Linked DNA regions of Coturnix japonica. The protein of the gene in region 2 purifies or fractionates together with the protein of the main gene of each other region. This does not show direct contact. Links are inferred from orthologs where the notes say so. Each region holds a gene or a part of one and is shown on either strand. Other genes may lie near its edges. The genes, in order: VAPB and RAB3GAP1.

Evidence for each region.
Region 1: the proteins of RAB3GAP1 (region 2) and VAPB purify together in Homo sapiens (affinity purification with mass spectrometry; 4 studies listed by BioGRID and IntAct, counting the BioPlex papers as one, with this or other methods). This does not show direct contact. The link is inferred for Coturnix japonica from reciprocal best matches to the Homo sapiens genes RAB3GAP1 and VAPB.

The regions. Positions count from the first base shown.
Region 1 is NC_029535.1:10,105,905-10,109,720, forward strand, and holds part of VAPB (vesicle-associated membrane protein-associated protein B/C), read right to left. Parts: intron 565-3,816; coding exon 461-564; intron 1-460. UniProt on the Homo sapiens protein: Endoplasmic reticulum (ER)-anchored protein that mediates the formation of contact sites between the ER and endosomes via interaction with FFAT motif-containing proteins such as STARD3 or WDR44.
Region 2 is NC_029522.1:27,696,825-27,700,740, reverse strand, and holds the start of RAB3GAP1 (rab3 GTPase-activating protein catalytic subunit), read right to left. Parts: upstream 2,535-3,916; 5' UTR 2,442-2,534; coding exon 2,424-2,441; intron 2,307-2,423; coding exon 2,251-2,306; intron 1,852-2,250; coding exon of another isoform or gene 1,832-1,851; exon of another isoform or gene 1,506-1,831; intron 1,473-1,505; coding exon 1,397-1,472; intron 1,080-1,396; coding exon 947-1,079; intron 715-946; coding exon 636-714; intron 277-635; coding exon 157-276; intron 1-156. Other genes in the region: MAP3K19 (mitogen-activated protein kinase kinase kinase 19), read left to right, coding at 1,832-1,851. UniProt on the Homo sapiens protein: Catalytic subunit of the Rab3 GTPase-activating (Rab3GAP) complex composed of RAB3GAP1 and RAB3GAP2, which has GTPase-activating protein (GAP) activity towards various Rab3 subfamily members (RAB3A, RAB3B, RAB3C and RAB3D), RAB5A and RAB43, and guanine nucleotide exchange factor (GEF) activity towards RAB18.

The DNA.
Region 1 (3,816 bases), on a different chromosome or scaffold from region 2:
TAGCAAAACCATACACTTCTGTTACTACCACTTGTAATCCACCATACAAGATCTATATGGGCAACTTAGTTATTTAAGCAGCAACAGAAGGAACAGAGAAAAAAACAATACTTGTAAGACATTTTCCTGGCGCCCACTGGGCAAAGGATCTGCTCAAGGGAAGAAATCAAGACAGACTACAAAGACACGCAATATAAAAGATATTGCATATCATGTCATATATAAAAGATACCACATGTCATATATATATATATATAAAATTACAACAACTTCACATGTTTCATAGCTTGGTGCACCATTACAAACAGCAGCCTTCCAAGGAAGCAACCGTGGTTGTGATAGCAATCTGCCAATGCTCTCAAGGAACATCCAGCCTGGTTTCCAAAGAGCCCTGAAGCAATGATGTCTTATGAATTACAGAAACAGAAATACATCCATTTTATTTACTTTCAATACTTACTACTGCTTCCATATCTGAAGTATCAGCTGGAGCAAACATAGACTGAACCATAAACTTGTGTTTACTTTTCTCATTGGGGTCATAGTCAAAAGGCTGTAGCATCACTGCAAGAAAAACCCCATAACGTTACGTTAATGTTGTTCTGATGCACAGTCATACACAGATGATTAGTTACAAGATTTGAGAAATACAAACATTAACATGATTGCAAAGTAGTGTATCTCTCTGACAAAGGAACAGCTGAGATCTGCAGCCCTACTTAAAATATTGAAGAAGTTAAAAGAAACAGAATTCTTCAGTCTGCACTGATTTCTGCCTGCAAAGTTTGGAACTGCTGAGCACAATGCAGTATTCTGTACATAAATACGGCGACATGATAGCAATTAATAGCAAACAGGGCAACATACAGATCTTCTGAGGCAGCAGGAAAGCCTCTCAATGAAAGAATCGGACAAACTTCAACAAAAATCCACATTTCATGGTCTGTGAGGCTCTCAATTCAACTGCTATGAACAGAAGCGGTTCAAGACGTGGGATTACTTTCAAGCATCATTGTTATTAACATGCACTGAAATTCACACACACCAATTGCAGGGATCTGCAGTGTACAGGTGTTATCCAAAGATCCCATTTATTGCAAATGAAGAAGAGCCAAACCAATCTGCCTCCTTCGATGAGCAGAATACGCGATGCCTGCGCCATTTTTACTGCACACACAATCTGTGGCCATCAACAACCACAAGCCTTTCAAAGCTGCAGGAAAAAGGAGACAGCGAATTGTCTCAAATGTGCAGTAAAATTCATGATACACTTTAACTGGCCTTACAATAATTAACTACTAGTCCAAAATAAACACTTCCATTTCAACAGGCTCCACGTAAAACTGTTCTTTCAAACAGAAATGACTGAACTGTGATGTGTATTTCAGCACTGCACAACATGTTGCTGAAAAGCAGAACAATCTTTTTGCCCCCCGTAACAGACACCTAACGCTTATTTCAAGTCTACATGATGTGCAAGAGCCAATGGGTACATGAAGCTATTTCACTGCTGAGGGAACTTCTCCAGAGCTGCAGTTGTACCAGTTTGCTTTGCTCAGTGTGACCATAAGCTCATTTGCAAATCATTATTTCCACAGTGATGGTGCTGAAACCATTCTTGAACACTGAGCAACTGCTGCTCTGAATTCCACTCACTGAATCACAACAGCAAGCAGCTAGAGAGGGCTTGACAGTATCAGCGTTGTTAGCACTTGTATTTTTAGATCAATACACGAAAGCCACATCGACACAAATTATTCAGCAAACGCCTTGTAAGCCAGATGGGAAGCTCAAAAATACTCCCTTTGTTCAAGAGGAAACCAAACCATTCAAAACCATTCAGCACACACTCTCGTACTATTGGGGGTTTCTGTGAAAGAGCAGTTATGGAAGTGCCCTAATTGTGACACAATTCACTACTGGGAGTACAGCTCCTTTGCTCTGACTGCCAATTGCAGACCTTACACCAGAATTACTCCTAAAAATATCTTTTCAAATCTTCTTTGCTGGTGCAATGTTACTGACCAGCTCCCACCAGAAACTGGTGTTAGAAAATAATTAACAGCAGATTCAGACAGGCCAGAACCAGCATCCATCAGCCAGTGGCTGCAATGCCCTCCTCGCCTCCACTGACTGCCCTACAGCTCAAACACCACAAGTGCTCTGTCATAAAATAAAACTGCAAAGCCACTGGGAGACCAATGGAATGAGGAATAATGTCTGTTGTATTTGCAAGACACGCCGCCTCTCAAAATTCACCTGAAGGACCAACCCCACATATATCCCAATCTGACATGTTTCAAATGAACGGGCACCAGTCTGCTCACACATTCCCACTGTATCTTCCATGTTTGATACGAACGATCTGCAGACGGTGAAGCAGAGTTGGTGATCAGCTAATGGTGAAGGTAATAACCATATCAAAGGCAGGGGAAAATTGAGGCAGGGAAGACATTATGCAAATGTGCTGTAAAAGCCTGCCAGGATCCGACCTTCCATTCCAAGAGCAGGAACGAACAGCCTCCCTGCTCAGATCATCAGCCTTCCTCTGGTTTCCATCTAAATTTATTAATGGCCTGTTCACTTGGTCTTGGACCAACACTGCGCTCACGCTTCAGTATCAAAGAAGGGGAAGAGTCCTTTACTTGTAGCATTCCAAGACATCAATCACAGTAACTCGTGGCCTCCTGGTAAACTAAACAAGCCAGACTTGGTCTGTCCTCTCTGAGTCAGGGCCCCCATTCATTCTCCACACCTGTTCTGGCTTGAATTCCTCTGTATGAGTTACTCTATGTATACAACCATGAAATTTTATTAATGACAACATTCACACTCTTATCTTTTCCACTGCCTAGTTTGTTTGCACACACTGCATTTGCCCTATTCACAGCCACATGATGTCAGCAACTTGGTCATCACTGATCAGTTACAATATCCTAACATCACCCACTTTGTTCAGAAAGCTTGCAATTATAGAAGAAGAAATCCAAGTACATGATTCTGCAGTTTTTATGACAAAACTCATCCTGTTTCTCTTACTGAAGCCTCCAAGGACACTCAGTTCTTGCTGCATGTCTTCAGCCTTTGAATTTTACATCATCGTAAGGGTTTTTAGTGTGCTGTCTTTGAGCCAGAACTGCTTACAAAAGCATTTAACAAGACTAATACCAAACATCACTAGCAATTTCTATTATCATTTGGAAGCCATACATCCACCGCAGTCCATGCTCAGCACTTGCCATGTTGGCCAATGAGGCCCAGGGGAGCAGCATATGGCTGGTGGCTGAGAAGGGGCAGAACTGCTGTGGGCAGCCCTGACCTGAAGGAAACACAACCCACCTCTTCCTAGTGAGGTAACTGCACAAAAGATCAGGGTACCTGACAACACAAGGATAACGTCAGCTCTCCCCATGCCCAGGAGTCTGCTTGGGCTGCTCTGTGCAGCAGGGCACACCATGCACCCTTCATCTCTCCGTTGTACACCTAGCTGCAGACATCAGCACCTGCTTCTAGTTTCTCACTCTTCATCTGGAATTCATTTGTATCTTTTATTTAGATTTCAACCTCTCGGAAGCCACAAAATCAGCTGTCTTTGTTCAAATAAGACACGTGTAACAAAAACAGAATGGGTGCAAACAGCCTTCTTTGCCAAGTACTTACAACCAAACGCAATCAAACAGGGTGACAGCACACATACACTTCCTGACAGTTACATAAACTCAGCTGTTAAAATTACACACCATTATATAACAGGTGAAAACATGGGCTACAAACCTGACTTTGCAGCAAGCAGTGCATGCTAACTGAGACTTAAAT
Region 2 (3,916 bases):
TTTAAAAGGCTTTTTGTAACAGCATTATGGTGCAAATGCAAGAAACACAATGTAATTCACTAACAACTAAAAACTTCTTCCTAATGAAATGAAGAACTACATAAATAGTACGCTAGTTTCACCTGAGCATATAAAAAAGTTCATGCTTTCACCTACCAGCCAGTGTTGCCCAAAGCAATAGAGACAGAACTCAGCAGCAGGTTACATTTTGATTCACTAAGAACCGCATCACTATTTGCAGCTGGAGCAATAACCACAAACTCACGTAAGCCGTACCTTAGAGAAAGAGCAGGGAAAAGGCAATATATCTGTGTGCTCCAATAAACCAGCTCTAACACAGAATTGTCAGAAACGTTATAACCTGAATAATCCAACTGTCACCAACAGGATATGACTCTTATTTTGCTGTGTGTCACTTCTTCACAGAGGCCAAGATCTGACTGGGAATGCAGTACTGTAGATCATCACAGCACTACAGGAATTCAACAATGCTCAAACACTACTGAATGTTAGGAGGATTTTCCAGGTGTACCAGTCCTGAGTTTCTTACTACGGTTAGTAAGAACTGTAATTAAACCTAAAAACAATCTATTGCTATGCTTCTCTGTGTTAAAGAAGAAAGGCAGCATACATACCATCTTACTAGACAGTGAGCTCGAGGAGGAAAGTCATTGTTCATGCAGAGCAAGTCCTGCATAGGCAGAGGAAGGGCATCTGCAAAAAGATGTGACACCTAAGACCATCAGCATCCCTATAACCAGAAGTTTACTTCTTTAGCAATTTGTTCACAGTAAGATGTAGTAAAAATCAGAAATGTCAAGTCCAGCCCATCAGATCCCCCCCCCAGATTTCACACAGATGCAAATCAGCACTCTGAAATTGTCTTCTGTCATATCCTTACAACACCTGTGACACATTTCAGGCACAAAAGAATACTGTCAGCTACCTTCTACACCTTCTTCTCTCCCATCTCTGTCTCCAGGTTCTTGCACAAGATAATGATGTGTAACTGAGAATTTGAAGTCTGCAAATGAAATTTCATCTGATTTCTCCTCCCAGGTTCCTGTGGTGTATACACCCTGCAGATTGGAAATAGCAAAAGCAACAAGCAAAGCTATTACTTGATCACATAAATTCAGGTTAATATTTGTTCCCCTTTCTCTCCTTTTTTTTTTACAGCTAGTCATGGTTTACTACGAAGATAATTCTCAAAGCACTTAAAGTTAGCGGAATGCTAAAATCTATGTTAATTGCTTTTATTTCGAGTACAGAAGTCCTCGGCGCTATTAGGCAATGAAGAGTTAAATATTTCCTTCACATGAAACTGCACATCTAAAGCACATGCATCCTCTACTCTGCCCATCACCACCATAGAAGCCCTAACCGACCAACTGACCTTTTCCAGAGGTTTGCCTGAAGAAATCCCGATAAGTTTCCAGTCATTCAACACTTCTTCTATTTTTGAAATAAATCTATTAAGGAGGGAAAAAGGTATTAATATTTCCTGATTGCTCGCTCAGCTCGTGTTGTAAATTCAACTCCCAAAAGCAGGCAACAAGTAGTCCTACTGGGGAACTCCTTTAAAACAAAGCAAAAAGAACAGTAACATACCAAGGACCACAACAAAAATAGCCTGCTTCCCTGTACAAACAAAGCGGTGCTTTTAGTTTCACATCCCAGATAAGCCTTATGTTTAGCAATGAACACGTGTTGAGTGTTTATAAAGTCTCTCCCATTTTCACAGAATCACACAACTGTAGGATGGAAGGGACCTCTGGGGATCCACGAGCCCAACTGCTTCACTGCTGAATGCTCCAGTTACACTTCAAGCATGATTTTTTCCTCAAAAAGGTAATTTCTAACATAGAGGAACACACTTTCTGTCTCCCCTACTCACCCTTCCCTCACCCCCACTTATTGGTTTTGCGAAGAGTTTCAAGTACGACCAGCTAAAATTAAAATGTCCCAGTTATGGCCAACACAGGGTTTAATTCAGATCAAGGTATGATCATACATTAAGACAACATGAGTGGAAGAACTGAGACTGATGTTATACGTTTGTCTGGTACTGCAACAAAACAGAATCCTGCTTCACTGCTTAGAGAAAAATAAAAACCACATTAGACACGTAATCTAAATTCAAATTTAAACACAGGCCTTAAAATCTTTTTCTATCATAGATATTCTCACTGGAAAATGGACTTGTTTATGTAAACGCAGGGCCGGCCACAGCCCGGCGGCAGCACGTACCTCTCCCACTCGGAGGCGGTGGTGAAGTCCGTGATCTCGAACACCTCCGACTCGGGCTGCGGGGAGAGAGCGGGAGAAGCATTGAGAGGGAGAAGCATTGAGAGGGAGAAGCAAGAGAAGCAATGAGAGGGAGACCTGGGGATGGACGGGATGGGGGGACACAAACAACTCACTTCACTATCCGCCGCCATCTTGCCCTGCGTCCCGCCCCATGCACAAGGGCTGACGGGAAGCTGCGCGGGATGGGCGGGTTCCTCACACAGCGCCTCGACCCCAGTGCGCGCTTCATGCTATTTCTCCGTCATAAATAACACAAATAAATAACGTAATCCTTAAGGCTGCCTGCAAAGGGACGGAGAGTAATTAATGAGAATGTACCGGCCATAGTGAGCGCTGAGGTGTTGGCTGTAAAGGGAAAATGACGTAGAGGTAAAGGAAGCATTGAAAGAGAAGGGAGAGGGCTGTGGTGCCTTGGCAACGCGGTGTAAACGAAGCGCGGCGGAACGGCCGAGCCGCTGGGACAGCTACAGGGACAGAGAGGGATAGGGACAGGGATAGAGATAGGAACAGAGATAAGGAACAGAGATAGGGACAGAGACGAGGTCCGAGCCCGCTGCCCCGCCGCCACCGGCACGTTGGTGTGTGTGGAATCTGTGCCTCTGCCACACTTCGCTGCTGAAACACACGGTAAGGGCTAGCTGAGAACTTGTTCAGCTGTTATTTTGAATTAAATATATATATCTATATATACAAAAAAATGGGAAAGTCTGGCAAAGTTCAGCGTATAACCCTTAACAGGCTCATATAATCGCCCTTCTGATGGGCTATCTGCTGTTTAGCATAAGGAGAAATCAAAAGTGCTGCTTTCCACTGCAGTTCCACACAATATCGGTTGTCCCTGATCTTGGTTCTCTTCTGCTTCCTCTGTTATAAACCTCCAATGGCAGCACTGCCCGATGTCAGGGTGCAGCACTGTTTGGTGTTAGCAATATTTCTCTCTCATGTAGGGTGGTGACATGTAGAATTGTTATGATTAATTTAATCTGGGGTAAACGGATGAGTCTCTTGGGAAGGCTGCCGTATGCTGACGGCTTGTTGTGTACTTATTGCTGATGGAATGAGAAACAAAGGCCACGTTCTTTTGCTGACCAGCAGTAAGTGGCGAAATACTAAATCCAGCAGGAGCTACATGGGCCATTTGTTTCCACTGAGCTCTGTCACGACTTGGAAATACAAATCCAATCCTGAAGGACTCTGAAGGACAGAGTTGGTACCTGCCATCTGTTGCTTACATCTTACCACTGGCTGCACTGTAACACTGGGCTGCTTTCCCATTAGTAGCTCCACTGAGAGCCCTGAGCTGAAGTGCAAGGGAAAAAAGGCATTTATGACTAAAAATGGGTATTTATGAGCTAAACAAATAAGCAAACAAACCCAAACCATTGCCAGCGATAGTACCTGTTAGGAATAACTTGTAATAAAATGTATAATGAATGCTGAAAGTGTTTTTTACCTCTAGATGGAAAAAGTCCACACACATAATTCATATTAGGCACATTATTAAGGAGTTTTCCATTAAGGACTTCATGATCTTTCTCTCTAGCATTCAGTAACCCCATGTAACTCTAATGACTTCTAGGCTATCATTCATGTATCTTTAAATGCA